4 linked regions of the Tamandua tetradactyla genome follow. The protein of the gene in region 1 interacts with the protein of each later gene in a pairwise test. Links are inferred from orthologs where the notes say so. Each region holds a gene or a part of one and is shown in the gene's direction. Other genes may lie near its edges. The genes, in order: STK16, RPIA, MIIP and KCTD14.

Region 1 (8,019 bases):
TTTCTAGTAGGGGAGGCAGATTAAAAAATATACAGGATGTTAGGACCAAGGATAGAAAAAAAGGACAGAGGATATAAAATGTTGTAGGGGAGGGGGCTTAAATTTCATAGAGGGTGGTCAGGGATGGCCTCACTGAGAAGTTGGTTTCTACAGGAAGATAAAGGGAGCACCACGTGCAAAGGCCTCAAGTATGACAGGCCTTTGTGGCTGGTGCCCTGTGAACAAGAAGGAGAAGACAGGATGTTAGGAAGTAACTGGGGTCAATTATATAGGGCCTTGTAGATCATTTTAAGGAATCCATGGCTCGTATTCTGAAGAGATAGAAACCTATTGGCAAGTCGAATGGAGAAGTGGTATGAACTAAGATACGTATTTAAACATTAACAGTGTTATACTGGCTGCTGTGCTGAGAACATGCTACATGGAGGGTGGGGGTGGGGCAAAACAAGGGAAACCAGTTAAGAAGCTATTAAAATAATCCAGGTGAGAGAGGTGGTTTGGACCAGGCTGATGGCAATGGGAGTGATTAAATGTAGTTGAATTCTGAAAGTATTCTGAGGATACAGCTGACAGGCTTTTCTGATGGAATAAATGTGAGGTGTGAGAGAAAGGCATAAGCCTGACCAATCAGTAAATGGAGTTGTTACTATCTGATATGAGTTGATTGTAGGAAGAGCTGATTTGGGGAAGCGATATCAAGAGCTTAGTTGTATCATTAAGCCTTTCAGATTTCCAAGTGGAGAAGTCAAGTAGGGAGTTGGATAAAAGTCAGGGGAAAAGACTGGAGATACACAGTAATTAAATTTAAAGTGATGAAAATAAATGAGAGCATCTGGGAATGATTTATTTCTAGAAAAGGGAAGGGTCCAAGGACTGGGCCCTGGAATAATCCAGCATTCAGCTGTATGCGAAATGGAGAAAAAGAGTCTATGGAGTGGTCAGAAAGATGGAGGGGAGTGGGAGAGACAAGATAAGTGTGATATCATGAAAGCTAAGAGAAGAGTACTTCAAAGGACAGACTGATCACCTGTGCTGATGCTGCTGCTTGGTCAGGAAGCATAAGGCCTAAAAGATCACCATGGATTTAGTGATGTAGAGGTCATGGTTTTGTTGAGAAAAACAGATCTCTTGTTCGTACTCCATCAATCCTTGATCATTTACAATGTATTTTATGGACAACTGAGTTTGGAAAATGCTTTGGTGAGCATAAAGCACGCCAACACTCAAGGAAGTAAAGCAGCCCCTGGAGAGTTCCCAGCAGATTTAAGGTATTTTGCCAGAGTGATCTTCTAAAAAGGTAAAATCAAATCAGTCATTCCCTTGCTCTTATGACTTCCTATTTTCATGCAGAATGAAATCCAAACTCCTTGAAATACTGAGCATTCTCAGAGCTTAATCCTGAATTCTCATCTTTTCTCTCGCTACACTTACTCCCCAGGTGAGATCTCATGGGATTTAAATGCTATCTGCAGACTGATGACTCCCAAATTTATCTCTCTAGCTCAAACTTCTTCCCTAAGTTCCAAACCCACACATCCTATTGCTTATTTAATATCCTCACTTGACTATGCCACAGATAATGAAAATTTAACATGACCAGAACAGAACCACTGTTTTTCTCTTCAAAGTTGTTCCTCTGCCACCACTAGTCTTCTCTGTCTTCCCTATGTCAGTTAATGGTACCACCATCCTGACTGGCCAGAAACTTGATTCCTTTCTTTCCGACCCTCCACCTTCCAATCAAAATCCATCAACAAGTCCTGATGATTTTTCTTACCAAACTATCTCCCAATTCTGCCCTTTCTTTTCATCTCCACCATCATCACCTTAATACTGGCTACCACCGTCTCTCTCCTCAACTTCAATCAGAGTCTCCCAATTAGGTTCTTCACCTCTATCTTACTTCCTCAATTCATTCTCCCCATCAGAGCTAATAAATCAGATCATGCCATACCAATAGCTTTCTACTGTACTTAAAACTCAAACCCTTTATTGTGATCTACAAGGTCCTGCATCAATTGTCTCTACCTTTCTCCAATGTCATGTTATACTATGCTCTCCTTCACCCACTATGCTCCAGCCATTCTGCCTTTTCAGTTATTCAATCATGTTCTTTCTCATCTTGGGCCTTAGAACATACACTGTACCCTCTACGTGGATGTTTTCATCTCACTCTTCACATGACCAGTGACTTCCCTTCCCTGAGGTCAAGTGAAATGTTTCTTTCTCATATAAGCCTTTCCTGACTACCCTACTTCTCTGTTATAGGCTATCTCAACTGTCTGTTTTCTCATGTGGTAATTTTACAGCTTGTGATTAATTTATTTATAGGTTTAATTTCTAAAAACCTGTCTCCACTATTTTATAAGGTCCATTTCATAGGAACTGGGTCTGTCTGTTGTGCCAGTTTCTAGCATCCTGCTGGACAAGTAGGAAACAATAAATAGTTGAATGAATGATCTCCAATTTGGGCATAGTGTTTCCTGTTTCTGGAACCCAAGTGACTCACGTTTTGTTGTTTGCTTTTCTCTGTGTTAAATCTTTTGCTTCAACTCACCTGGATCTGAGGTTCTCAGATGAATTTTAGGGTTTCGAAGCAACCAGGATGGGAGACCTCCCTGAGATAGACAAAAAAAACAACAAAGAAGAGTGTAGGTTTTGTTCTGCGGTGAAGTGGAGGAGGTAAGAAATTGAATGTAGTGCTGGAAGTGGCCCTAGAGCGTAGACAAATGGCAGTAGTCTAGGAACTGCACATGGAGGTTTGATTTTATCCCTTCTCCAACTAACTCACCATCTCCCACTCTGCACAGATGTAAGGTCCTGGTCTCAGGATGACGAACAGGTTCGCTAGAGCAGTCTCATGCAAAAACGCAAAGAGGTCCCGGCTGCCATTAAAGTTATAGACCCCAGGCTCTGGCTCATGATAGTTCCAGGGCACGTAACTGAGGAAGGAAGAGTTTAACAGGGCCCAAGGTGGGGAGATGCCAGGGAAACCTAAGAGCCCAGGCCCTGCAGGAAACTCCAGGATGCAGCTGGAAGGTGGTCCTTGTCTGTCCTTTCCCAATCTTTACCTGGGAGCCCAGGAGTCCCAACCACTCTATATTGAGTTTGTCTTCTTGCCCAACCCCATTCCTAAGGAAGCAGTATGGAGAGTAAATCCCGCCCCTCCACGGCTGTCACAAGCACTTCTTACAACTGTACAGCATTGAGGCCGCTCATTCGCATCTTTAATAGTCGGTCTGCCCAAAGCACCCGCGGTACCCGAAAATAGTGCATGCTTCCAGACACGTAACGGAACGGGACCCCGTCAAGGAGGAACCTGTCATTATACAGATCCACTACGAACGACCGAGTCTCTACCTGCAAAGCGAAGGTGAGATGGTGCTTAGCAGACATCTGGAGTGGGGGTCAGCGTCTGCCCAGAGCGGGGAAGATGGAATTAGCCCCGCCCATTGTCTTGTTATTACTTTTACTTTCTCTTCATCTGCCCGGTCTGATCCTGCCTCACCGCACCAGGCGGGAGAGTTCAACACTCCAGACTTACCTGGGCCCGCAGCAGCATCAGGAGCGGCAGTAGCAGGGAGGGAAGACAGGGCGGCTTCTTGGGAGCCATGGCGCTTACAGGGCTCCTCTAGTCTGAGACGGCGATCCGACCGTCACGTGGCGGATTCCTGGGAGGGAACTTCAGCGAGCAAGGGGGCGGAGACCACCCCAAATTGCCAGGCGGTTAGCCTAGACTTTGTTTCCAACCTTGCAGCCACCCGCCACTATAGTGGATCGTAAAGTTCTCTATATCTTGCTACTTAAAAGTGTAGCCCACAAACCAGCTTCATCAGCGTCACCAGGGAGCTTGTTAGAAAGGCAGACTATCAGGTCCAACCTCAGACCTATGGAATCAGGATTTGTATTTTAACAAGATCCCCAGGCGATCCTCTGTACATTCTAGATTGAGAAGCACCTCTCTACTATACTGAGCACCCTGAGGGCAGGGAGTGCCTTGTTCTTCAGCTTTAAGCACAGAGTCCAGCACATAGCAGGTTAATCTAGATGAGTGAATGCCAGAACCAAGGGAAATCGTAGGAAAATCTTCCTGATGACTGGGCATATGAATGGGGGAAAGCAGATTACACAAGGGATCTTTTTCTTGGAGGGGGCTGTTTCAGCAAAAGGGCCCATCCAGGCCATTTCATCTTCTTATCCCTGCCTGCTAAAGATGTCAGGGACAACTGCGTGGTGCTAAGATTTTGGAATTTGGGAATTTCCAAGCCTAGGATGTGAGGCCCAGGATACTTAGTATTATTATTATTGTTTATTGACACTTATTGAGAGCTTTGTGTCAGATATTGTGCTAAAGAACTGACATCTCACTTTATCCTCAGATAATTCTCTAAGGTAAATAATTATCATTCCAGTATTACAGAGGAGGAAACTGAGGGACAGAAATATTAAGTAAACTGTCCAAGGTCAAATAACTAGTTTAGTAGAGCTGAGATTTGAACTGGGCAGTTTGGCCTCACGGATCATGCAGTTAACCTTGGGTCCTACTATACCTATTTTAGAGCTAGTAAAGAGAGGCTTGAGAGGGGTTAAGTAACTTGCCTGAGGTGACACAGCTAGTAGGCTATTAAATCCGGATTTGGATCCTGACAGTGTGGTTCCAAAGTCTGAGCTCTCTTAATCACTAAGACTAGGGTAGTGAGATACAGTCCCCAGAGGCTGAATTGTTATCAGAGTTCCAGGAATCCAGCACTCCAGCACCCACCCCTCCCTGCGCTTCTGCAGCTCTCTGGTCCCAGCACGCCGGACATTTCAGGTCTCCTACCTCGGGCATTGGGAGAAGGAGGTCCTGGGGAACCTAGGGCTGGGCCCGGCTTTGCTCCCCTTTGACGCAGGTGCCTGCGTCTTGACCCCTACTGAAGGCCAGGTGGGGACCCTCTCCCGGGTCTTGGGACCCGTCCTCCCCCAGGTCTAGCCCGCCACAGGCCTCTCAGCTCGGCGCCTCCACATCTTCCGGGTACCCAGCCGTTGCTAGGATACCGCCGGCCGTTACGCCCGCGCGGACTGATGATGCAACCACTGCTTCCGGACTCTGGAGCTCCTGCCCGGGCCAGGTCAGTGGGGAGTCGCGACTAGCAGCCTATGCAGAGTTGGGGCTGGGTCCTGTAAGGGGTGGGCGTCAGGCTCGCACCTCCCCCGTAACTACTCGGTACTCTGACTTCGCGCCCGAAGGGCGTGGGAGTGGGGGCTGTCTAAAAGTAGATACGATTTGGAGGAAGCGGCCTGGTAACTGCTGCGTGGTCTGATGTTTTAAAGCTCCTCACCGCCGTCTTCTTGGAGCTAGCGTTGCCAGGTCCCATTTCCTCAAATGGGAATATAGGTCCCTGGACTTGGACTCTCCGCGTTGTTAATTCGGGGCCACTTGTACTGTGCCGGGCCCGCGACCCTGCCGTTCTATTCCTTCCAGCATGATTCGCTGGACCCCCTGCATATCGCCTGGAAAAACCCATTTACCCTTGATGAACCCTTCGGCAGCCTCAGACCGTCCTTGAGGAGGATGATTGAGACACTATGGGCCACGCACTGTGTGTCTGCTCTCGGGGCACTGTCATCATTGACAATAAGCGCTACCTCTTCATCCAGAAACTGGGGGAGGGGTAAGTGCTTGAAAATCAGTTTCTTGACTCCCAGAGTGATGGTGGATGAGGAACACCAGTTCGCTCGTGATAAGGGTACAAAAGCTTTATCCCCATCCTCTAACTCACCTGACAGGGCCTAGCCATATGGTCATCAAGAAAGTGGATTCTGGAGTCAGGCCTCCTAGATCCACCTTGTGTGGCCTTGGTAAGCCATGGTTTCTTTGTTTGCCTAGTGGGGGACAGTTATCATGCCTCACTGATAGAGTTGTGAGGATTAAATAAGATGATGCTTGTAAAATGTCTAGTGCAGGGCCTGGTGCATAAGCAGTTGGTAAATGTTGACTATTTTTCATTTCCTTGTTATTGAGCATCTTCATGTACAGAGCACGTTATGACCACAGGACCTAAAGGTGGTCATATCTCTGCTCTTGGGAGGCTCAAAGTGTAATAGCCTTGAGATGTCTCTTAGAGCCACATCTTGGGAGGGTTGCTACTAAAAGAGAAATACACCCCCTTCCTCTTCCCAGGGAATCCCCTCTGGGTTCAGGCAGTGTGGGAGATGACCGTGGTCCTTCACTGACCCTTTGGCCCACAGTGGGTTCAGCTATGTGGACCTAGTGGAGGGGTTACATGATGGACGCTTCTACGCCCTGAAGCGAATCCTGTGTCATGAGCAGCAGGACCGAGAGGAGGCCCAGCGAGAAGCAGACATGCATCGCCTCTTCCATCACCCCAACATCCTTCACCTCGTGGCTTACTGTCTGAAAGAACGGGGCTCTAAACAAGAGGCCTGGCTGCTGCTACCCTTCTTCAAGGTCAGAAGGACTCCTAGTTATGGAGGGGTTTCAACAGAGCCACCTGCCAAGGGCTGTGTGAGCAATCAAACATGTTAGGAAGCTGGGGCCATGTTCAGACTTTAGCCACTTCAGATTTGGGTTTTAGAGGAACCCAGGTGGTACTGTGAGGGTTTGAGGTGTATGTGGAGAAGGGGTTGATAGGCTTTGGCATAGGGAAAGGGTCATGTCCTGGGAGCAGAGAACTTGGAAGTCATTTCCAACTGCGGGGAAAACTGTGTTACAGAGAGGTACGCTGTGGAATGAGATAGAAAGGCTGAAGGACAAAGGCAAGTTCTTGACTGAGGATCAAATCCTGCTGTTGCTGCTGGGTATCTGCAGAGGCCTCGAAGCCATTCATGCCAAGGGTTATGCCCACAGGTTAGTGGGAAGACCCTGTGTACCTGCTGGGGCAGAGGGGAAGAGCCTTACCAGGAGAAATGGGAGGTCTCTGTTTTCCTGAGAAACAGCCCCATGATTCTTTTGCTCTCTAGGGGTCCAGCCTCCCTGTCCAGGGGTGGTCACAATTCATTTCCACTTCCTTATAGAGACCTGAAGCCCACCAACATCTTGCTTGGAGACGAGGGGCAGCCAATTTTAATGGACTTGGGTTCCATGAATCAGGCATGCATTCAGGTGGACAGCTCCCGCCAGGCTCTGGCCCTACAGGTGAGAGTCTCCTGGTTCCTTTGCCCATGTGTTCCCTATCCCCAGCCCTTTTTGATATATACCCCAATTTAGCACTGGACCGTGACCTGTGCCTCACTTTTGGGCTCTGGGGCCACTGTTCCAGGACTGGGCAGCCCAGCGATGCACCATCTCCTATCGGGCTCCAGAGCTCTTCTCTGTGCAAAGCCACTGTGTCATCGATGAACGGACTGACGTCTGGGTAAGGAGCATGTGGGTAGAAATCTGGGCAGGGGTAGAATGCTGCTCTGTACCCACTGGTGGTAGAGGAATACGTCTTTGGTTTCTACCACATGGGGCCTCAGGAACCCTGGTATGTCCCCATCCCCCCTTGACTTCCTTCCTGGGAACTGTCAGTGATACCATACTCAGTTGTTCAGGAAGTGATATAATCCCTGCCCCTGAACAGGGTGGATACAGCTAAGTACCAGAACTGAAGGCAGTAACTAGACAAGGAATGCAGAGGCTTCCAGCTAACTGACAGTTTCTCTGGGCCATGGTGGTGCCATGTGGCTGAGGTTGGCGTATTCTTTTTTGACTTATGCAGCTCCTTTCTCTACACTAGTAAAGAAGGGATATCACCTTCATTGGTCCATTCTAGGGAATAACCAAGTGGTGCTCAGTCCCTAGGCTGTGTGCTGTATGCCATGATGTTTGGGGAAGGTCCTTATGACATGGTGTTCCAGAAAGGTGACAGTGTGGCCCTGGCGGTACAGAACCAACTCAGCATCCCGCAAAGCCCCAGGTGAGCTATAAAAGGGGCACCAACAGTGAGTAAAAAAGTATTTGCAGAATCTCTTGGGGGAATGGTGAGAAAGAGGGAAAATTCAACTTCCCCAAGTGGAGAATTCTTGATATTCTTA
Region 2 (6,902 bases), on another chromosome or scaffold:
TAGGGATCCATTATTTTATGCATGATTTTTTTTGTAAACCTACAACTTCTCTAATAAGGGGGAAAAAACTCAAACTACTAAATAAATCAGACAATGGTGTGAGCAGTTATGAGCCATGGAGGCAAGGAACCTCTAGAAGCAGGAGAAAGTGCAGGAACATAGTGTCTCCAGAGGAATGCAACCCTGAGGACATCTTTATTTTTGCCCAGTGAGATATTTCACGCTCTGGCCTCCAGAACTATCAGATTATAAAATTGTGCTATTAGTTTGCACGTAATTTGTTACAGGCATAGTAGGAAACTAAAATTTCATGTATATGAAGGAATTAAGATACAATAAAAGTAGCATTTCAAGTAACAGGTAAAGAACCTATTAGTCAATAGATAGTAAGACAGTTAGCTATTAATCTAATTAAAAAAAATAAAGTCAGATTTCTACCATTCGCAAAATTAAAGTCCAGATGGAGTAAAAGCCTTAACACACAAAAGTATTGGAAGAAAATATGGGAGAATATGTTCATGACTTTGGCAAAGAAATTAGTGATGATTACAATATTAAAATATAAAATGTTTGTATATAAAGCACACTATAAACAAAGTCAAAAGACCAGCAAAAAATGGGAGAAATATATTTGTATTTTTATATTTTATATTAAAAAAATATTTGTTGTTCTCTAACCTTTACTTAGAGAATACTTTGTATGTAGAGAATACAAACTATTTTCTAATTAAAAAAAATTGTTTCCAGACATTGCCAAATATCCCCTGAGGGACCAAATCACTCCCATTTAACAATCCCTATTTTAAAAATATCAAAAGGCAGTATATTAGTTTTCCTGGCAGCTAAAACAAATACCATACAATAGGTCGGCTCAAACATATAAACAAACAAAATTATTGGCTCATGGTTTTGAGGCTAGAAGTCTACAATGATGGAAAAATAATGTTTTCAACAAGGCAATGTTCTCTCCCAGAAGACTGTCATTCTGGGGCTGCCTGCCCTGATCCTTGGTTCTTGGCTTTTCCGTCATTTGGCCATGTCTTGTTTCACCCCTGGATTCTGGGTCCTACTTGTGGCTTTTTCTAAGTCTGAATTTTATTCTGCTTTAAGGAACTCCAGTAATCCAGATTAAAACCCAAACTGATTCAGTTGGCCGCACCTTAACTAAAAATAACACCAGACTGTGGATCAAGACCAACAGCATGTCCAAAGTGGGGTGCACAAATAATCCACCACTGGTAGCTTGACGTATATCTAAGGAATGATCTGCATAGCCCTAAGGAATTGTTCTATACGCATTTTCTTCAGGACCATGGGCTTGGTCAGCCATCAATAAGACTTGGTTTTGATAAAGCAAGCAGCATTATGCTGCTTTCCAGTGATAAGTACAGAGTAAGGCTATAACACTAAAATGTTAACCACGACTCATTCTGATCATTAGGCTCACCAGGAATAATAAGGCCCCAGGCTCTCCCAAGGCCTTAATGGTTGGTCAAAATTATTAGTAGACAATAAACCAGCCCTCACGGAACAAAAGGGCACATGTTGAGGCTCCAAAAGATTATTCCAAGGGTATGGGGTGGGGGTGGGGTAGCTTGAGTTTGTTTCTAAGTTGGTCTAGGTGCTGAATAAACGGGTAATTCAAGCTCTAGCCTGAAGTGAATTTGAGCCAGCACCACTTCAATCTCTCCCAAGATGCTCAAATCCATCCCAACATCTGCTTTGCAGCTTCCTACCGTTTTACCTGTGAATCACCTTCAAAATCAACACTTTGGAGGACAGAAAGAGGGAAGGGAGAGTGAAAGGAGGTGGGAAAGCAGGAAGTGACAGAGTGGGAGAGAGTGAACCTAAGCAATTTGGTCTGTAGTATAATGCTGTAAAACATTCTTTCTCAAATCCTCTCCCAAGAGGTGGGGCAAGACTTCTGATATTCTGATAGACAAGCTAATGAGGGGATAACTATATTGGGAAGGAGGGTTAAAAGGGGGAAGGAATGAAGACATGAATGTGGACAGAGAGAAGGGAGACAAGAAGAAATGAGAAACAAAGTAGCCCAAACAGGTGGACCTTTGTAGGACATTACTCACTTGTGAAGTATTGAGCCATGCACTGTGCATCCTATGGGGAACTGCCTCAAGGGACTGTAGTCCTTTGAGTGAGAAAATCAAGTGAACAGAGCAAGATAATAATGGCAGAGTACAAGGTGTCTGGGGGCACATAGGGAGTACCCAACCCAACGATGGCAGGGTTCATGTTTGCAATGTAGTAACTGAGTGGAGTCTCCAAGAACTCCGGGAGCAAGAAAGGTGTACAGGGTGTGCAAAGACATGGAAGTAAGAGCACAGGTTGTGGAGACGGAAATTCTATATGGCTGAAGGTACAGTGTGGAATAGAGGCATAAAATCTATTTATTATTGCATCATGCCTTAGACATTTATTGAGTGCCATCTACATGTCAGTGTTTAAGGGGACTGAAAGATGCAGTAGGTAAAAGAGAAAAAACCATCTCAGAGATGCTTTTAAAGAGGGAGATAGATGATAAGCAAGTACAAAACCAAAGAAGTGAACAAGGACAGTTTTAGGATAGGTAAAGTGGTAGAGGCTAGGTGGGTGCCCTAATTTAGATGGAGTGGTCAGGAAGATTTCCTTAAGGAAGTGTCAATTTAGCTGCGCCTGACCCACAGGAAGAAGCTGGCAGTGCAAAGATGTGCGGTGGGTGGGGGGGGTGGGGGGGTTGTAAGAAGAGCATTTCAGGTGGTGGGAAGTCCTAGTGAAAGGCTCGGAGGCTAGAGGGTAAAGACTGGACACTAACACTTGATCTACCAACCTCTTCGTATGTGTGCTAAGGACCCAGGGTGCCTGAACGGGGAAAAGACTGGCACCAAGGGCTTTCAGCAAGGTCAAAAGTTTCAACTCTGCAGGGACCCACAGAAGTAGGGTCCAGATATTTTATCCTGCTAATCTCTGAATTCCACCTAAAAGTCAAGAATTTAAACATCGCCTCAAAGAATTTTTCCTTCTGCAGACCAAAGTGGACGACCTGGGGCTGACAGCACAGTAAAGAAAACTGAGGCAATGAGGGCGGCGACAGCGGTCCATACTGGACAAGAGTATGAAGGCGAGTTCATGGGATTTCACCAACAAGGACCAGCAGTACAAAGGCAGAGTCACGTGCTTTTAAGGACCTCCAAGTGGTCGGTATGGTTGCGGAAGCATCAATTTCCTCGCTTGTAAAATAGGGACGGTAACAATTTCCCACCCTTAACTATTTCCTAAGCATCTTAACGATAGAGGAGAGAGAGTTGTTAAATTCAGTTAGTTCTCGAGTCTCCAAGGACTGCAAGTCACACTTGTACTTATGGGCCAACTCCACCAGGGCGAAGCACGCCATGCAACGTCTACGGCAGGAGATTCGGAACATGTGGTCCTGCGCCTGCCGGGTCTGAGGACGGATTTCAGCCGGCGCTGGGGCCTAAGAGCGTCTCCAAATGAGCCACTGCCCTGAGGTCTCGACCACGACAGGTCTTCAGTGCTGGGAAAGCTAATGTGTCCGCTCCAACACGCCTGTCCGCACGGGCGCACAGATCAGAGAGATGCATCCAACAACAAACATATCTTCCCAGGAGAAAGGCAGGCACGACGCTCAGACCACAGCCATCAGGGTCGCACTGCCCGCCTCGGAAGCCGGCAACCGGCGAACTGCGCACCAGCCGCGGAGCACCGTGGGGCTGGTAGTTCCGGTGAGAGCGCGGCTACGGACCGCGGGGCCCCGAGAACTACATTTCCCGGGGAGCCCGGCGCGGCAGTGGGAGCGGGCTATGCGCATGGGCAGACACTGGGCGAGCCAGGGCGGGATCGCGGCGGAGGCGGGAGCTCGGCGTCGGGATGCAGCGCCCCGGGCCCTTCAGCACCCTCTACGGGCGGGTCTTGGCCCCGCTGCCCGGGCGGGCCGGGGGCGCGGCCTCGGGCGGAGGCGCGAGCAGCTGGGGCGCCCCGGGCTTCCACGTGCATCCACTGGGACGCGCGGACTCCCGGCCTCACGGCGGCGCGGGCAGTCCGGGTGCTCGTGGCAGGGGCGGTGGTGGTCGCGTCTTCTCTGCCCCTTCCACGATGTCCAAAGCCGAGGAGGCCAAAAGGCTGGCGGGTCGCGCGGCTGTGGAGAACCACGTGAGGGTGAGCCGCGCGGGGCGCCTGCTCCCAGCTCGGTGGGCTCGTCGTGCGCTCCCTGGGCACGGCCGTTGCACGTGCGCGGGGAGGGGGCGTGCGGTGTCTTCCCCAGCTCTTAGATGTATCGTGGGTTGGGGGCGAGCTCCCCAGAAGTTGAGCTCGCTGAAGGCTCCGTGTTCAGGCCGGCCAACAGTTTGTGAAGTGGAACCTGGTGGTGTCGGGTCTCTGGGACGCGGGCTAGAAGGGACTGGCCGCCTGGGTCAGCAAAGGAAAATGGTCGTATTCTGGGGCTGCCGGCAAGCCTGCGGACGGCTGGCTCGCGAGTCTTTGAAGTTCTTCTTAGTCGATTCCCCGCGTGGCACGTGCCGGCCGGCAGAACCAAGGCTGGAGACCCGGCGCTCGGGCGCTCGAACCTCCCTCCTTGACCCGGCGGGCCCGTGAGGTCTGGCGGGTGCTCTCCCTCAGAGTGAGGTTGTTAGGTGTGAGATCCAGGTGCTGTTAGTGGCGTCTTTCAGCCCGGGTGGATTTATCACCAATTAAGTTAATTATAGTACTTTGCAGCCAAATGGAGTACCTGTGCCCTGTAGTGGCGTTTTTCCTGGCCGTTTTGGCTTTCTCTCACCCCCTGTTTTACTTAGAAAGTGGTACTGGGTTCCCTTGTCTCCCGTAATGATAGTTCTTTACATTTGTCAGCGCTTTGCTGTGTAAAGTGGTTTAGTATTGGGTAAAGCTTGAGCGTTGAAATAGCTTAAGCGGAAAGAACCAGTGTGGTAACCTGTGGAGTGGCCGAAGGTCCCGGAGACCTCAAACGGAGTGACTCCCGTACCTTCGCCTTTCTGGTGTAGCTTATGGCATTCCTGGTTAGTGAGAGGATTTTTTAGGAGAATTCACAGAGATAATGTAATATTTATAATCTGGCCCTCTGTTTGGCTTCATGGCCTCGGATAATAAACTGAAATTTCAGAAGGTTTTGGATACCTTGAATTGGTAGTAGACAGATAAATGAAATCTCTTGGAAGAGAAGCCCTAAGTCTTAAGCTTTCCAGATAACCTGTTTATATTAATATTTGGTGGCATATGCTTCCAGGATCATTGTTTTATAGCTATGTGTTTGGTTAAATGAAAAAACTGCAAGCTGCCTCCTCAGACTAGAACCAGGAAACACTTGCATCTCACCCCACCCCAGTTGTACCCAGTTTCCCTGCCAGCTTCTTTCCTGAGGTACCAAGATCAGCTGAGTTTTGTATGTTCTGCTCTTAATCCTTAGAGTTGTAAAATAGGCTAATCAAAGACAAAGGCCCACACCCCTTAGATTCAGGGTGGAGCCTCCAGCAGTTCCTTGAACACATACCCTGTAAGCTCTTGCTCACTTCAGGGTCTTAAATGTTTCCAGACTGTGTTGCAGTCATCTCCAAGATAAGGATAGTAGATCTCTAGGTTTTAAGGGGTTGTCGTGAGGTGTAATTTGTATCAATATTTATAAAACTTCCTGGTAACTGCCTGCTTTTGGTTTCTACTAATTTTGCCTTAGATTAGCAGGAGGTTGTTCCCTGGATGTTGCCTCCGAACTAAACTTCCTGACGGTTGGTTCCTGACCTTGTCTTTCTGTTTGTGATCAGATTGAGCTGTACTTGCTAGTGGTCTGCCTCTTGTCTGCTAATCGGTGTCTTCCTCCTTTCTTATATGGCTCTGCCTTTGTGAGAGGCCTTTCTTTCCCTTTCTACTCAGGAAGTGCTCTGCCCCTGTCATACAGCCTCCCTATATGAGTCTGTAGCTCATGTCCCTAATATGCCTTCCTTCCATGTTCTCTGGGGTGGGCTCTTGCAAAATGGGATCCCCTTGGTCTCGTCTGGGTAGGTGCTGGTGTGCCTGAGTGTATTGAGGTTTACTTCTGTCAACCAAGAAATAACAAACTAAACTTCAAGGCAATAAAGGCATTCATTTGGGGTCTTAGAATTGCAGTTCGGCACAGATTCACGTAGCAACCGAATCCTGGCCCACCTTGGCATTTCCAGGCAAGGGCTTTCACATGGAAAGATTATGCAGGTTGTTTATGGTCAGTGGATATTTGGGGGTACTCCAGCTATCTTTCAGATTAAATAGTTAACTGAATGTAGTGGAGAGGCTGGAGGGAATTGCCTGAAAATGTAGTGCTGTGTTCCAGTAGCCATGCTTCTTGATGATGATTGAACAATGATACAGCTTTCACAATGAGACTCTGTGAATGTGAAAACCTTATGTCCGATGCTCCTTTTAGCTACTATATCAACAGAAGAGTAGAACATATGGAATAAAAAGAAATAATAGGGGGAACAAATGTTAAAATAAATTCAGTTTGCAATAGTGGTAAATGAAAGCGAGGGGTAAGGGGTATGGTACGTATAGTTTTTTTCTCTATTATCATTTTATTTCTTTTTCTGTTGTCTTTTTATTTCTTTTTCCAAATTGATGCAGATGTACTAAGAAATGATGAATATGCAACTGTGTGATGATATTAAGAATTACTGATTGTATATGTAGAATGGAATGATATTTAAATGTTTTGTTTGTTAATTTTTTTTTAATTAATAAAAAAAGTTAAAAAAATAGTTAACTGAATTCTTTATCTTGTGGTTTGTTTATGGTGTTTGGATATCCTTAGGGTTTTCAGGAACATTGTTGCTGGAGGCCTTGCATGCCCTGATATCTGCTTAAGAGTAACCTCCAGAATGACCTCCCAACATCATTTGAAATCT
Region 3 (7,933 bases), on another chromosome or scaffold:
TTGCTGCCTCCACAAGATTGAATCAGGATTAAAATATGGCTTTTCGGGGGTGTATCTACTATTTTCAAACCGGCACATTTTTGCTAAAATGTTAAGAATTTTTGCATCTATTGGCATGTAGCTTTCATTTCTTGTAATATATTTGACTCTCAGGGATCTTTGGTATCAGCAGGGTAGTGCTGGCTTCATAAAATGAGTTAGGAAGTATTCCTTCCTCTTCAATTGTATGGCAGAGTTTGTGTAGAATTGGCATTATTTCTTCTTTAATGTTTGGTATAACATACCAGTAAAGACATCTTCGTGCCCGAGTTCTCTTCTCATCCATGAGGTGGTCAGAAGGAAGTACAAGTCCACAGGTGCGACCTGAAGGAGAGACACTCCTGCAGCGGTGGCAGGTGACATGGGAGCCTGGGCGACCTATTCAAGTAATTTACTTGTGCCTTTTGGACCGGGTCAGACCCGATCCTGAGTATGCCATTCCATTTCTACCACCCAATGGTCTCTTATACCCAGCCTGACCATAAGTCTTAGTAACTCTGACAATACCAGCTCACTGCAGTGCCAGAGTCATTTGGTGTTCTGTGTTCAGGTGTTCTGGCTACCTAAGGGCTCAGTAGCATGCCACAGCTGTTTTGTTTTTTTTTCAAGCAGAGCAGCCATATATAACAGAAGATATGGCTTTTATCCAGAACCTAGGGGGTCTGTGTTGCAACTCTCTTACTGAGGCTTGTCAGAGACTCCATGCTGCATCTTTATCTGCCATGAATACCTCTAGCACCAGCTTTCATGAGTCCCTTCTTGCTCCAGATTCTATTCAAACTGGCAGCTGTGTCACTCCAGAAAGGGTCATAAGATTTTTCCCAAGAGAAACATGTTATCTTCAGAGTCAAAGACATTCACTAAGCACTTCTCTTTTTCTTAGTAATTGGAGGGGGAAGGTGCCACAATCTTTGACGTTGGAGGGCTGTTGCAACACGTTCTAGACACTACACGTAAAAATCATGGGATTTACTCACAGCCATCTGGCCTCTAAGTCTTCCTAGGAACACCTAGGGTAGTTGCTACATCCTATTCACTAAATCTAATTAGCTTGATGTTATCAGTTTCATGAGGCCAGCAGCACTCAAGGTCCTAAATAGATTAGATTGTGAAACAAAGTCGGAGGGTTTTATGGCCCTGAGTCAGGACTGTGAGCGCACACCACAGTATTTGCCTTGGGAATGGAAATCAATTTGACTCCTCCCCGCTGAGGGCAACTGAAAAGAGAGCATCCCTTAGCATTATAGCTGCAAATCCAGGGCCAAAGGCTGCGCTGTTCTGCTCCAGTAAAGAGTCCACATCTGGCCTCCACACTGGGACCACTGCCTGCTGTGGTCTATGAGCCATGCGGCTGTGTTTTGCAGGGTCAAGCAGGTGAAATGAGGGAGGACAGGATGTGGGCCAGCACCCCCCATACCCTTCACAACTCAGAGCAGGAAGAGGGAAAAAGCTTCAGGGGGTTCTACTTCCCCTCCCTACCTGCAATAGATTAAAGAGGTGGATTCCATTTCAACTCTAGCTTTGAATCTAGACCGCCTTGGTAACTTGCTTAGAGCAACAGAAAGTGAGGGAAGTGACTCTGTGCCCATTCTGAGCCTGAGACTTACAAAGGTCTGGAAGCTCTGCTTCCGTGCTCTTGGGATCCAGCCCCCGTGGAGGAAGGATGGGCTAGACTACTGAAACAAGCCAGGTGGAGAGAGACCCAGGAAGATGGGAGGACAACTTGGATATCCCAGCCCCAGCCGAGCTCCCAGCTGGAGGCAGCCACACGATTGAGCTCAGGAGAGACCAGAAAAGCTACTCAGCTGAGTCCCAGTCGGTCCACCTGTGACATAATAAATCTGTGTTGTTTGAAGTAATTAAGTTTTGGGGAGATTTTTAGCGCAGTGATAGATAACTGAATTGCCTGCCATAATGGCCCTTACTCCACAGATCAGGGAACAAATATGAAGGTTCCGCCAGCTGCTCAGGCTAGCCACCCCATCTATGCCTATGGGAACTGGGAAACAGTCACAGAGTGTTCTAGTTTGCTAGCTGCCGGAATGGCTTTTGAAAAGGGGAATTTAATAAGTTGCTAGTTTACAGTTCTAAGGCTGAGAAAATGTCCCAGTTAAAACAAGTCTATAGAAACGTCCAATCAAAGACATGCAGGGAAAGATACCTTGATTCAAGAAGGCCGATGAAGTTCAGGGTTTCTCTCTCAAGTGAGAAGGCACATGGTGAACACAGTCAGGGTTCCTCTCACATCTGGAAGGGCACATGGTGAACATGTCATGATCTGCTAGCTTCTTCTCCTGGCTTCCTGTTTCATGAAGCTCCCTGGGAGGCGTTTTCCTCCTTCATCTCCACTGGCTGGCGGACTCTGCTTCATGGTGCTGCAGCATTCTCTGCTCTTGCTGAATCTCTTGGCTTTCTCTCTTGTCATTCTCTTTTATAGGATTCCAGTAAGCTAATCAAGACCCACCCAAGCTGGTAATCCATCTTAACAACCACTCTTTTTTTTTTATTAAGTGTTTAATTTTTTTAAAAATATAACAACAAACAAATGCAAACATTCTTAACTTATGATCATTCTGTTCTACATATATAATCAATAATTCACAATATCATCACATAGTTGCATTTCATCATCATTATCATTTCTTAGAACATTTGCATCAATTCAGAAAAAGAAAAAGACAACAGAAAAAAATTCATACATACCATACCCCTTACCCCTCCCTTTCATTGATCACTAGCATTTCAATCTAAATTTATTTTAACATTTTAACAACCACTCTTGATTGAGTCACATCTCCAGGGAGATGACCTAATTACAGTTTCAAATATACACTACTAAATAGGGATTAGAAGAAACGGCTGCCTTTACAAAATGGGATTAGGATTAAAAGATGGCTTTTCTAGGGTACACACATCCTTTCAAACCATCACACAGAGCAAGTCCTGAAACCCACCGGACCCATAGAGATGGACTTGAGTCCAAACTCCATTTACCTCCTGGCCTCCATAAGCTTCCACTCCAGCTGGAGGGCCACGATGGTGTTTCAGGTCTCCTGGAATCAGTGTCAGCTCAGACTCTATACCTTAGGGTCTTTGGAAATTCTGAGTAGTCCACTTTTCCCATTGTACATTTTTCTGGCAAATGGCCACTGGCCCCCCTGCAGGAATATTTTCTATAGGTACCTGTGGTGGTATTGCACGTTCCTTTCTCAAGGAAACCAACCTTCCCTTCAATGAATGAGCTCAGTCTGAGAACTGAGTTGAATTTGGGCACTGGATGAGGAACCATGATTTTCCACCCTGTAGATGAAGTCAACCTTCTGTTTTAACATTTTTCAAGTTGAGCCATATCATGTTGACTGTCCATCTATCTGACTCCTAGGAACTTCATCATCTAATCACTGTCACAGATAACTGTAAGTTAAGAGACTCTCACTGCCACTCCAGCCCTGCAACCTCTTATAAAGTCTATCCTGCCTCTGGCAGTTATGTGATGGCTCTTGGCCTCTGCCATTCCCAAATCTCATCATCTCACTGATCCTAGGGAGGCCAGTGCCACGACAGCATCTGTCCCCATCAATCCCAACCTCTACAGCAGCCACCAGTGAGCTTCTCAAAGTTGCCAGGATCCCCTTATCAAGTTATTTCTTTTTGCCTGCCTTAAAGGGAATGTTCTTTGGACCTTCCTGAAAACACAGTCGGTTGGTAGGTTCTCAGAATGTACCTGGTAAAACTGTTCTTACATCCCTACTACCCTGAGACTTCTGACCCTTTCCCCAGTCCTATGCCAAGGAAGCGCTGGCATCTGCACCCGATTTACTGTAAACCATCACCACGTGCAAGCTGCCTGGGGCCGTCTCAGCAGATTCCTGCCGCCTGTTCAGGTGTCCTAGTCAGAACACTGGATCCCAAGTCATGGATGTGTGCCCCGTGGCAATAATTCTGTATTCAGATTTAAATTTGATACCACCCCACCCCACCCCCAGCATCCTCCAAGTGTATTCCCACGTCAATTTTCCTGCTTCTTTTTTTCTTGATGTTACGTATTAGTCAAGTCCTGCAATCCCTTTGATTCTGTAAGCAAGGCTTTACCTCCATCCTTGAACCGTGCAGGAGCTGACCCTGTTTATTGTCTAAGAGGCAGAGAGGGGTGAGAGTAGATCTAAATTTTATTTTCTTAAAAAACTGAGGTCTAATTAGTTCTTTCTCTAGTATTTAATGGCTGTGGGTTTCTGGGCAAGTCACTTTGGTATTTCTCCCAGCCTCGAGATTTTTGTTTGTTTTTCGGCTCTAAATGGCGACAGCATCACTCTTCGCAAAGCTTGGTTTCTAAGGAGAGGATGCATTGGCACAGGGGCTCTCCGTGTAAGCTGGCGCATATTCTACAGGCTGGATCACAGGTGTTCAGGTTCAAGTCCCACCCCCGCCTCCGCCCGCCCCCGTCAGGAACACCTCTTGGTTCTTCTCCGCCTCCCAGACCTTCAGACTAGATGCCCAATCAATCTCCCTTTAAAGAATGGATGCATAGTCGGCACACAGCAGGGAACTCGATAAATACGTGAACAGACGAATAAAAGATGAGGTCTCCAGCTCGCCCCGCCGGTTCCCACCCGCCAGCCTGGACACCAACGCCGCACCGGCCCACGAACCTATCGCTCTTGAACGTGCCGTAGCCGCCGGCCTCGGGCAGAACCAATCGGAGCCCGCCTTCCGGGCTCCCGCCCCGTTTCGAAAACCGACCCTCTGTACGCAGCCACCGAAGCTGACCAATCGGCTGTTGAGCCCAGCTGTTTATCCCGCCCCGCTGTTGAAACTGCCGCTTCGGAACGCGGAGTAACGCTGTCTGGAGCGACCGGCCCCGCCTCCACATCTGGCCAATCAGGGCCGCTAATGCGAGGCCCCGCCCACGCTCGGGCTCACCGCGTTATCTGCTGCGGCGGGCGGCGCTGTCCCGGCTTCCGGGTTGTGAGTGCGGGACCGGCGGGGCCGGGGAATGAGGAGGTGGGGCTCCGCGGTCGGACCCGCGTGCGCCCGCCCGGATGGTTCGGGCGGCCATGGGGAACGAGAGGGAGGGTTTCTTCTCCGGGTCCTGCCCCTGCGTCCCCAGGCACTGCCTCTTTCCCTCCCCCAGTTTCTCTTCGAACCTCACCTTCCGTTGCGTTTGTGCAGTTTTTGGTTTTCCTGAGCGCGGCTGGACCCTCCAAGGCCGTGCGAAAACGGGGACCCTCGGACTATAGGGGTTCGGCTTGGAGTCGCTTGGTCGTTCAGGGTAGTGGTCTGGACTCCCCGCCTGCGGATCAGGCTGTGTCCCCTGGTTCGCACCTCCACGGAGGCGTCTATATTCGCACCTCCGCCGCCCCCCACCCCCACCCCCGCGGGGGCACGTGTAAGGAAAGGGGTCGTTGGCTGACTCCTCTGCCCCAGCTCCGGCGGGAGGGCCGACAGCAGGACGTGTGACCCGGCCCAGCATTAATATGGGACGGTGCGTTTTGGGGGAAACGGTTTTCGGGTGTAGGAGTTTGGGCCTTGGGGTTCGGAGAGAGGTGGGAAGCCTCTTCCCCCACCCTGCAGAAATCCCTTCCACAGAGATCCTGGATCGCTGGGCAGCCAAAGGCTGGGAGAAGGAGAAAGAGGCTTCCCAGGCGCCTCTCCATACTGCCAGGGAAAACCTGGAGTGCCCTTGGTCCCTGGAGGCAGATTTGGGTTCACATCCTGACTTGGCCACTTGGGGCATGTTCCTTAGCCTTTCTGAACCTTAGTTTCTTCATCTGTAAAAAGTAAGGAAAGAGGAAAAGGAGGGCAGAAGGAGGGAAGAGTCCCCCGATTCTGCTGGATTCAGACATTGTAATGCTTTGCATTTATAGACTTGTACTAATTGCTTCCTATAAATTAAGCTGCTATAGTTCCATTTTAAGATTGTTAAGGGGGGTTACTTTTAGTAGGTAAAGGAAATGCACCTGCCAGACACTTATTGAATGTGCCAGGCACCGTATGAAGAATTTAACATGAACTACCCTATTTGATCCTTATGAGGTAGAGACTTATCATCTCTGTTTGGCAGATGAGGAAACAGGAGGCACAAAGAGGCTAGATAGTTAGCCTGTAGCTGAGGCTGCACAGTTAGGGAGAAGCATGGAGGGGATTCCTCACCCTATGCCATGCTCTCTCTCTCTCTTTTTTTTTTTTTCAGTATTTTAACATAATTATATTACAGTTAGATAGTATTGTGCTGTCCATTTCTGAGTTTTTGTATTTAGTCCTGTTGCACAGTCTGTATCCATTCAGCTCCAATTACCCAATATCTTACCCTATTTCTACCTCCTGATGGTCTCTGTTACCAACAAAATAGTCCAAGTTTATTCACTAATGTCAGTTCCTATCAGTGAGACCATACAGTATTTGTCCTTTTGTTTTTGGCTAATCTCACTCAGCATAATGTCCTTAAGGTCCATCCATGTTATTACATGCTTCATAAGTTTATTCTGTCTTAAAGCTGCATAATATTCCATCGTATGTTGTGAAAACCTTGTGTCTGATGCTCCTTTTATCTACCTTGTCCACAAAGAAGTAGAACATATGGAATAAAAATAAATAATAGGGGGAACAAATGCTAAAATAAATTTAGTTTAAATGCTAGTGATCAATGAAAGCAAGGGGTAAGGGGTATGGTAGGTATAATTTTTTTTTTCTTTCCTGTGTTCGTTTTGTTTCTTTTTCTATTGTCTTTTTATCTTTTTATCTCTTTTTCTGAATTAATGCAAATGTTCTAAGAAATGATGAATATGTAACTAAGTGATGATATTGTGAATTACTGATTATGTATGTTGTTTTATTTTGTTTCTTATTTTTTAATGAATAAATAAATTTTAAAAAAAAGTTAAAAAAAAATATTCCATCGTATGTATGTACCATAGTTTGTTTAGCCACTCGTCTGTTGATGGACATTTTGGCTGTTTCCATCTCCTTGCAATTGTAAATAACACTGCTATAAATATTGGTGTGCAAATGTCCGTTTGTGTCTTTGCCCTTAAGTCCTTTGAGTAGATACCTAGCAATGGTATTGCTGGGTCATATGGCAATTCTATATTCAGCTTTTTGAGGAACCACCAAACTGCCTTCCACAGCAGTTGGACCATTTGACATTCCCACCAACCATGAATAAGTGTGCCTCTGTCTCCACATCCTCTGCAGCACTTGTCATTTTCTGTTTTGTTGATAGTGGTCATTCTGGTGGGTGTGAGATGATATCTCATTGTGGTTTTGATTTGCATTTCTCTAATGGCCAGGGAAGTTGAGCATCTCTTCATGTGCCTTTTGGCCATTTGTATTTCCTCTTCTGAGAAGTGTCTGTTCAAGTCTTTTTCCCATTTTGTAATTGGGTTGTCTTTTTGTTGTTGAGTTGAACAATCTCTTTATAAATTTTGGATACTAGACCTTTATCTGATATGTCATTTCCAAATATTGTCTCCCATTGTGTAGGTTGTCTTTTTACTTTCTTGATGAAGTTCTTTGATGCGCTGTACCATGCTCTCTTAACTTCAGATAGAAGAACTGGGTCTAGAACCAGCTCTGAGGGTTCCCTGTGGGAAGCTGGACGATATATGGAAGATGCTGGAGGCTGAGGACACGGTGCAGCTGCGGCAGCTCAACCTGGAGCTTCTGAGGCAGCTGTGGGTCGGGCAGGACGCCGTGCGGCAAGCTGTGGCTGAGGCAGCCTTTGAGGTGGGAGGCACTGGTGGCATCTCCAGGGGAAGGGGCTGCTTTACCTGCAGATCAGAATCCAGGTCTCCTTGTCCAGAGAGGGGAGGGGAAGGGGTGGCTGGCCTGGACACTGCTGGGGCTGAAGCAGGGGTGAGGACCTTGGCTTTTGTGCCCAGCGAGGCCATCTGGGTAG
Region 4 (7,346 bases), on another chromosome or scaffold:
ACCCAGAAGCTCCTGCTGCCACCTCCCTTCAGAGGGGAGCTTGCTGGATCTGGGGTCTAATCAGGTGGAGGACTTCAAAAGGAAGCCCACCATACTTCCTGCCCCATAAAGGTCTCCAGGGATGGGCATTCTTGTACCTGGGCTGTGTCTGGCACCAACTGTAACAGTGCCTCCTGGATTCCTCCCTGAAACTCTGCAGGGGCATTATGGGTGACAAATGTGAGGCTTCCAGAGGTAAAGGGACTTGCTCCTAAATACAGAATTTCCAGAGGGAGGCTGGGCAGGGTGAAGGACACACACTAATTTGTTACTGAGGCCCTAGATTGTTTGGAGTTTCCAATGTGGCTTTTCCCATCAAGAGGCTGCCTGCAGCTAAAGGTGGTCAAAGCAGACACTCTTCCTTCTCTCCTGTCCAGGACTTCACCTTCCCAGTTCCTCAACTCCCCTGCGCTGCCCTCCCGACCCTTAGAGGAGCCCCACCCAGCCTTCGATTGCTCGCCACTAACAGGTCCACCATGATGGATGTGATCGTTCTCTGCTCTTTCCTCTCAATGCACTGATCACACCGTGTAACGGATTAGTTATTTGTCTTGTCATTTGATTAAAGTCTGTGTCCCTGCTCCAGTGAGCTCCGCCAGGTCGGGTTCTTGGACTCTGGTTCACAGGTCTGTCCCAGGACCCAGCACCATGATGGACACGTAGTAGGTATTCAGGTATCTGTTTTCCTCCTCCCTAGAAGGAAATGACAATATCTGTTGTTGTTGGTGGTGGTGACAATATCCACCAGCGTTGTTCTGGAAATTAAATGGGATACAATTCTCCAAAGTGCCTGGCACGATGTCAGTCCAGTTTGGTTCAGTCCCTGGACCATTTTCTAAAGACCTGGATATTTCTTAAGTGGGTGTGGAGCAAAGGGAAGGGAAGAGGGTCTTTGAGGATTGGCAGAGGTCTCCCCTGCCGTGGGACTCACAAAGGGAGCCTTGTGTGGGAGCTGTGGGCAGCATGCCGCGTGGGACAGCTGGGCCCGGGGCTGCCAGGCCTGGGTTGGGCTGGGCTGGGCACTTTGCCACAGGCAGCCTTCTGAGGGCCCTTTCATCTGAGTCACATCTGCCACTTAGCTGGCTGGCTCAAAGCCCAGCTGCCTAGAGAAGAGAGGGGCTGGCAGTTTTGTCTCCGCCAGAAGAACAAAGAGAGAGGTGAGGGGAGGAAGGCAAAGGGAAGCAGTGCTTGCTCTTGGAATAAGGCCAAGGGGAAACAAGATCCATTTTGTTGGCGACTTCAAGGAGCGGTTTGAATTCTATTGTTGCCATAGCATCAAGCAGAAGGGGAATTGCAGGGACCATCTCAGACAACACCCAACCTCCACCATGTATAGGTAGAGAAATTGGGGCCCGGAGAGGGACAGGGATTGCCCACAATTAAACAAAAAGAAAGAACAACTAAAGAGATAATGACACTTAAATAAACACATAATACCGGATGGGATCTAAGAATGGGGGTAAAAGGCTAAGAAGGACACATTACTGAAACATAAGGAAAAATGGAATACAGAAAGCAAGCTTTATATCAGTGTTACATTTCTTGAACTTGATAATTGCACTTAAGGGGTTACATAACTGAACCATGTACATTTGTAAGAAATGTACATGGAAGTATTATGTATTCAAGGATTGTGATGTCTGCAAAATGCTCTCAAATATTCAGGAAATAGATAATAGAATGATATGCAAAGGTAGTAAAATGTTAAACTTGTGGATCTGGATATCTGAATGTATGTTGGAGTTCTCTGTATCAGGTTTATATTAGTTTTGCAACTGTCCTGTTAGTTTGAAATTATTTCGAAGTAAAACATTAAAAACTGCAGGCCCCTCCCTTGGAGATTCGGTTTCAGTAGCTGGAGTTAGGTCCAGGAACGATGTCTAACGAGCACCTCAGGCAAATATTACTATCAGAAAAGTCTGGGAAACACCATAGATTATTTCACTTAATTTAATCCTCACAGGAACCTAGGAAAATAAGTACTTTCACATGTATTTTACAAAAGAGGCAATTTATGCTCAGAGAGGTGGAGTAACAGATGGTCACACAGCAGGTAAGTGGCAGGGCCAGGAGTCCATCCTCGATTTGTCTCACTCCCAAGCCTTATCTTTTTAAAATTTATTTTTCATTTATTTTTTTATCATATATCAGTTGGTTATGTTGTTTCATTTTTAAACTGTCAAACTTTTATAGACTTTTTAAAAAAACATTTTTAGATTTACAGAAAAATTGGGAAAATAGTACAAAGAGTTCCCATAAACCCTGCACTCACTTTTCCCTGTTGTTCATATCTTCCATTAGATTAGTACATTTGTTACAATAATGAGCTAATATGTCCATTTTCTGTTCCAAGATCCCATTCAGGACACAACTTTACATTTAGTTTTCACGTGTCATCAGGCTCCTTTTAGCTGTGACAGTTTCTCAGACTTGCCTTGTGTTTTTTTTTTAATTTTTAAAAAAAATTTATTAAACATACCAACATACAAACACAAACATTCTTACCATATGATCATTCCATTCTTGTTATATAATCAGTAACTCACAATATTATCACATAGTTGTATATTCATCATCATGATCATTTCTTAGAACATTTGAATCAATTCAGAAAAAGAAAGAAAAAGAAAACAGAAAAAAAATTCATACATACCAGACCCCTTAACCCTCCCTTTCATTGATCACTAGCATTTCAATCTACTAAATTTATTTCAACATTTGTTCCCCCTATTATTTTATTTTTAATCCATAGGTTTTACTTATCTGTCGATAAGGTAGATAAAAGGAGCGTCAGACCCAAGTTTTTCACAATCACACAGACTTGCCTTGTGTTTGATGACCTCGATAGTTTTGAGGAATACTGGTTAAGTATTTTATAGGATGCCATTATATTGGAATATAATATAATGTCTGATGTTTTCCTCATGATGAGACTGGTTTTCTCATGGTTAGACTAGGTTTTGAGGATTTAGAAGGAAGATCACAGAAGTAAAGTGGCATTTTCATCCCTTCATATACGGTATATACCTTGCATCATGGTAGTGAGAAAGCCTTCTTGACCAAAAAGGAGAAGAGAGAGGAAACAAAATAAACTTTCAGTGGCTGAGATATTTCAAATGCAGTTGAGAGGTCATTCTGGTGGTTATTCTTACGCACTGTATCGATATACTTTTCAGTTCTTAGTGGAGGAAATTCCTGAAACTGTTGAGCTATTCCAGTAGCCTTGATTCTTGAAGACAATTGTATAACTATATAGCTTTTAAGGTGTGACTGTGTGATTGTGAAAACATGGTGACTGACGTTCCCTTTATCTGGTGTATGGATAGATAAGTAAGAAAATAAAGACAAAAAATAAATAAGATAAGGGATAAGGGATGGTCGGATGGTCTGGGTTTTCTTTTATTTGAAAAAAATTTTCTTGGATTAATGAGAATGTTCAAAAATTGTGGTGATGAATGCACAACTATATGATGATACTGTGAACTATTGGTTGCACACTTTGGATGATTATACGGTATGTGAATATATATCTCAATAAAATTGCGCTTAAAAAAGAAAATAGGGGATTTTCATATTGTCAAAAATAAATAACCATACAGAAGAGATACTAAGTTTTTTTTAAGAGCTGTTGTAGTTTTACAAAAAAATCATGCAGAAAGTAGAGTTCCCACCTCCCCACCCCCCATCCACACAGTTTTATTAACATTTTGCATTTGTGTGGTACATTTGTTACAACTGATGAATCCATATTATTATATAACTAATGTATCCATATTATTATAATGATATTATTATCTGAAGTCCATAATTTACATTAGGGTTCACACTTTGGGTTGTACAGTTTATCGGTTTTGTTTTTGTCTTTAGATTTTTATTTATTTTAGATTTTATTATAAACAACATAATTTTTTTCTCATTTTGACCACTTTCAAGTATACAATTCAGTGGCGAGTCAACTCTTTTCATCACTGCGTCTCACTCCTGCCAGCCGCCCTGGAAGGTAGGCTGTGTGTTTCCGAGTCTCACTTTTCTCCTCTATAAAATGGGTGCTGCTGATCCTTCACCTCGCGGCAAGTCTCGGGTGACATTGCCAATTGCCAATTCCTACCGCCTCCCCCATTCGACTGACGATTCGTCCTGTGCCCAGAGAAGGCCAGTACCTTGCATAGGGTCCCACCGCAAGCCCGGCGGAGCCCGGGCCTAGCCCGGGGCTGTGAGCACACCCGGCGCCCAAGCCTCCGCCACCCCGGGGCGGGGAGCAAGGTGCACTTCCGCCGGCCGCGGGTTCCCTGCACGTGGCGCGGCTGGGCGGGACGCCGGGCGCTGGCCTGGCTGCGCCCTGCAAACCCCAGGACGATGAGCCTGTCCCCGGCGCTCCGGTCCCCGCGGCCCGGCCGACCGGTGTCCCCCGCAGGCTCGCCCACGGTGAGTGCGCGCCCCCGGGCTGGCAGGGGCCCGCACTGTCCCCGCGCCTATCCCCTGGACTATCCCGCCGCCTTTGTTTTCTTTCATTCCTTTCCTTTTTGCCCCCGTCCGTCCTTCCCCCGGGTCTGAGCCCCCAGCTTCCGGCGAGCTCTGTCTCCACCTCTGGCTGGGAGCTTCTTAGCTTAGTTTTCTCCTTAGCTGCCTTTTATACTTTGATCTCTCCTTTCGCGCGTCGATCACCTTTCCTGTTCCCGGATCTTCCAGCCTCTCCTACTTTCCCTCCTTCTTCCCTAGCTGCCTTTGTTTGTCTCCTCCCTCTCGTCTCGGTCTTTCAGTTGCTCTCTGTGTGGCTCCACTTTTAGTCCCCTGGCTTGTCTCTTGCACCTCTCTTGCTCTGCCTCTCCCTCTTTCCTGTTGTCACCCCTTCTTCGGGTGGGAGAGAAGGATCCCGCTGTGGGTCAGGCAGATCACGTCTCCCAACTCCACCTCCAGTCTGCCTCTGCCTGCTGGCTGGGTCCTGAGTCCCTCTGCTCACCTGCCCTCTCCCTGGGCTTGGGGTGGAGGCAGGATCAGGAAAAGACCAGTGAACTCTAGGAGCAGAACATTCTTCCCTGGGCCAAGTGCCATCCTGAAGACCTGGAGGAAGGGAAAGAAGATCCAGTAACAGGGAGAGTATGGCTTTTTTCCAGTAGGGTGATAATAACGTCATTGTTGGCTAGTGACAGTTGCCCGCTTAGTGCCAGGACTGCCCTAGGTGCTCAGTAAATGTCCGAGTGAATTGCCAGGCAGAGAGGGAGCCAGCCCTGGGCACAGAGCAAGATTGGCCTTTATCAGAACGCCAAGTGTTCCCATAAATCAGGGCTAAGGGTAAGCTCAATTCAATTTAACAAACATTTATTGAGCATCCCCTGTGTGCTGAGCTCTGTAGCAGGAACTGGTGACATAATGATGAATCCAGGGTAGGCCTTGCCTTGAAGAATCTCGCATTCTAATGAGGACACAGATGAACAAACAGGGAATTATGAGAGAAATATCTCCATGATAGTAGTAACCTTCTGGGATCACAAAGGAGATGAGCCATCCAGAAAGATTGTACGAGGAATTAACTTGAAGGATGAGTGGGCTAAGTGAAGGGAGGGAGCGTGGGTGGCAGGCAGTGAAGTTCTGGAGGCCAAGGGGCCCAGCCTACTCAGCATGATGGGGCCTGGGGGCTGGCGGGTGGCAGCTTGTGGTTCTGGCAGCTGATTGCTGCAGGTGGAAGCAAAGGGCACTATAAACCCTGTTAAGGAGTTTGAAATTTATCTGGAAGGGAATGAAGAGTCACTGAAGCACGTAATGCAGGGAGTGACAGGATCAGATTTGCACTTCGGAAAGGGTACTCTGGTTTCAGAGTGAAAAATGGATTGGGGGAGGGCCCTAGAGGGGGCAGGGAGACTTGGAACTGACCAGGCAAATAGAATCACCAAAACTTGGTGATTGATTGTGCAGGGAGAGGTCGAGGGCAGGAGTGAAAAGCAAGATTATGCCTCTGTTTCTGGCCCTGGCAACTGAGATAGAGAACAATGCAAGAGATTAGGGTTGTGGGGTGGGGAGAGATTCTAAAGAGCTTGTTGGATATCTGGGTGGAGGTGTCCCTGCATTGACCCTAGTTGAGGATGACCTAAGGAAGCGTATGAAAGTTTGGGGCAGGTGGTGCAGACCCTTTAGATTGCATCTAGGGGAAGCTGGCCTATTTTATTCAATCCTGTGTCCTCATAGCTAGCTCTGACCTGTCATCAAGCAGGAGCTCATTTCTGAGGTTGTGGAATAAATGTCCTGGGAGAAGTGCCTTTCAGTTATCCAGCAGATCCTCCCCCAACCCATAGACAGAAATCCTGAAGAGTGCAGGGCCTGGACAGGCTTTCCCATCCAGGAATGCTTTAGCAGTGTGCAGGTGTAAAGGTGGGTAAGAGGGTCCGTGAGGAAGGACAGGTGGTCCCGAAGAAGGACGGAAAAGAAGTCTTCATCTGCTAGAAACATACTGCAGTACTTATGGGTGCGAGAGGAGGTCTGGGATTTGCAAACAGATTGGGAGTTTGGGGATAAAAGGAGGGAAGAGGGGCAGAATTAAGAAGCTTGGGAACAGAGCTAAGGTCTTGTTTGATAAACAAAGAAATAGAGCTGAGGACGCCAGGGCAGGAAGCTATTTTGCAAAGCCTCGGAAATTAGCTTCAAAAAGGATATTTGAAGTGATTTTTATTTGTTGGACTTTCAGAGCTGAAGCGACTTAGAGTTCTTCTGGTCCACTTCTCCCCATTTCACAGATGAAGAAGCTTAGCCCCAGAGAGGGAAAGTGAACTTCCCCAGGCACGCCACAAACTATTGCAGAATTGGGATTGGATGTTAGAAGCGGTGGGTGTAAGATAGCACCCCATGCTGCATTGGAGCTCCAAATCAGACTGATATGGGCTTGATCCCAGCTCCAACTTCATCACTTCCTAGCTGTGTGACCCTGGACAAATCACTTCTTCTCTCAGAGCTTTCCTCATCTGTATTAAGGGAACGTCTAGAGAGCGGGTGAGCCTGAGAGCCGGTGAGCCTTCCATGGGATAGAAATGCTGAGACCACATCGATCCATTCAAAGGTTAAAATCTGGTACTTTGCATTTAACTGCTTGCCTTACAGAGGTGATCTCAGGGTTAACCAAACAATCTTGTCAAGGGACCTTGAGCTTTATGGGAGAAACAGCAAGCTACACAGCCCTGAGCTTATTTTCTTCATGGCTATATTGTTTGGCTGCTGTCAGGATGCATCCTTTCCCCTTCTCCCTTCTCCCCTCCAGCCAGCAGAACGGTCCCCTGGTAGGAGCTGTTGCCATGGAAACGCAATTCTCCCCAGCAGTT

Evidence for each region.
Region 2: the proteins of STK16 (region 1) and RPIA interact in binary tests that used the Homo sapiens proteins (3 or more experiments, as listed by UniProt). The two-hybrid records come from large-scale screens. The link is inferred for Tamandua tetradactyla from reciprocal best matches to the Homo sapiens genes STK16 and RPIA.
Region 3: the proteins of STK16 (region 1) and MIIP interact in binary tests that used the Homo sapiens proteins (3 or more experiments, as listed by UniProt). The two-hybrid records come from large-scale screens. The link is inferred for Tamandua tetradactyla from reciprocal best matches to the Homo sapiens genes STK16 and MIIP.
Region 4: the proteins of STK16 (region 1) and KCTD14 interact in binary tests that used the Homo sapiens proteins (3 or more experiments, as listed by UniProt). The link is inferred for Tamandua tetradactyla from reciprocal best matches to the Homo sapiens genes STK16 and KCTD14.

What each region holds. Positions count from the first base shown.
Region 1 is NC_135329.1:194,982,175-194,990,193, forward strand, and holds the start of STK16 (serine/threonine-protein kinase 16), read left to right. Parts: upstream 1-5,006; 5' UTR 5,007-5,111; intron 5,112-5,464; 5' UTR 5,465-5,568; coding exon 5,569-5,654; intron 5,655-6,231; coding exon 6,232-6,451; intron 6,452-6,716; coding exon 6,717-6,850; intron 6,851-7,017; coding exon 7,018-7,138; intron 7,139-7,262; coding exon 7,263-7,358; intron 7,359-7,779; coding exon 7,780-7,901; intron 7,902-8,019. Other genes in the region: GLB1L (beta-galactosidase-1-like protein), read right to left, coding at 2,558-2,618, 2,792-2,942, 3,194-3,360, 3,545-3,613. UniProt on the Homo sapiens protein: Membrane-associated protein kinase that phosphorylates on serine and threonine residues. In vitro substrates include DRG1, ENO1 and EIF4EBP1. Also autophosphorylates. May be involved in secretory vesicle trafficking or intracellular signaling.
Region 2 is NC_135343.1:62,580,956-62,587,857, forward strand, and holds the start of RPIA (ribose-5-phosphate isomerase), read left to right. Parts: upstream 1-3,885; coding exon 3,886-4,173; intron 4,174-6,902. UniProt on the Homo sapiens protein: Catalyzes the reversible conversion of ribose-5-phosphate to ribulose 5-phosphate and participates in the first step of the non-oxidative branch of the pentose phosphate pathway.
Region 3 is NC_135328.1:213,403,183-213,411,115, reverse strand, and holds the start of MIIP (migration and invasion-inhibitory protein), read left to right. Parts: upstream 1-4,928; 5' UTR 4,929-4,929; coding exon 4,930-5,040; intron 5,041-5,440; exon of another isoform or gene 5,441-5,521; intron 5,522-7,581; coding exon 7,582-7,761; intron 7,762-7,933.
Region 4 is NC_135334.1:66,655,438-66,662,783, forward strand, and holds the start of KCTD14 (BTB/POZ domain-containing protein KCTD14), read left to right. Parts: upstream 1-4,328; 5' UTR 4,329-4,395; coding exon 4,396-4,464; intron 4,465-7,346.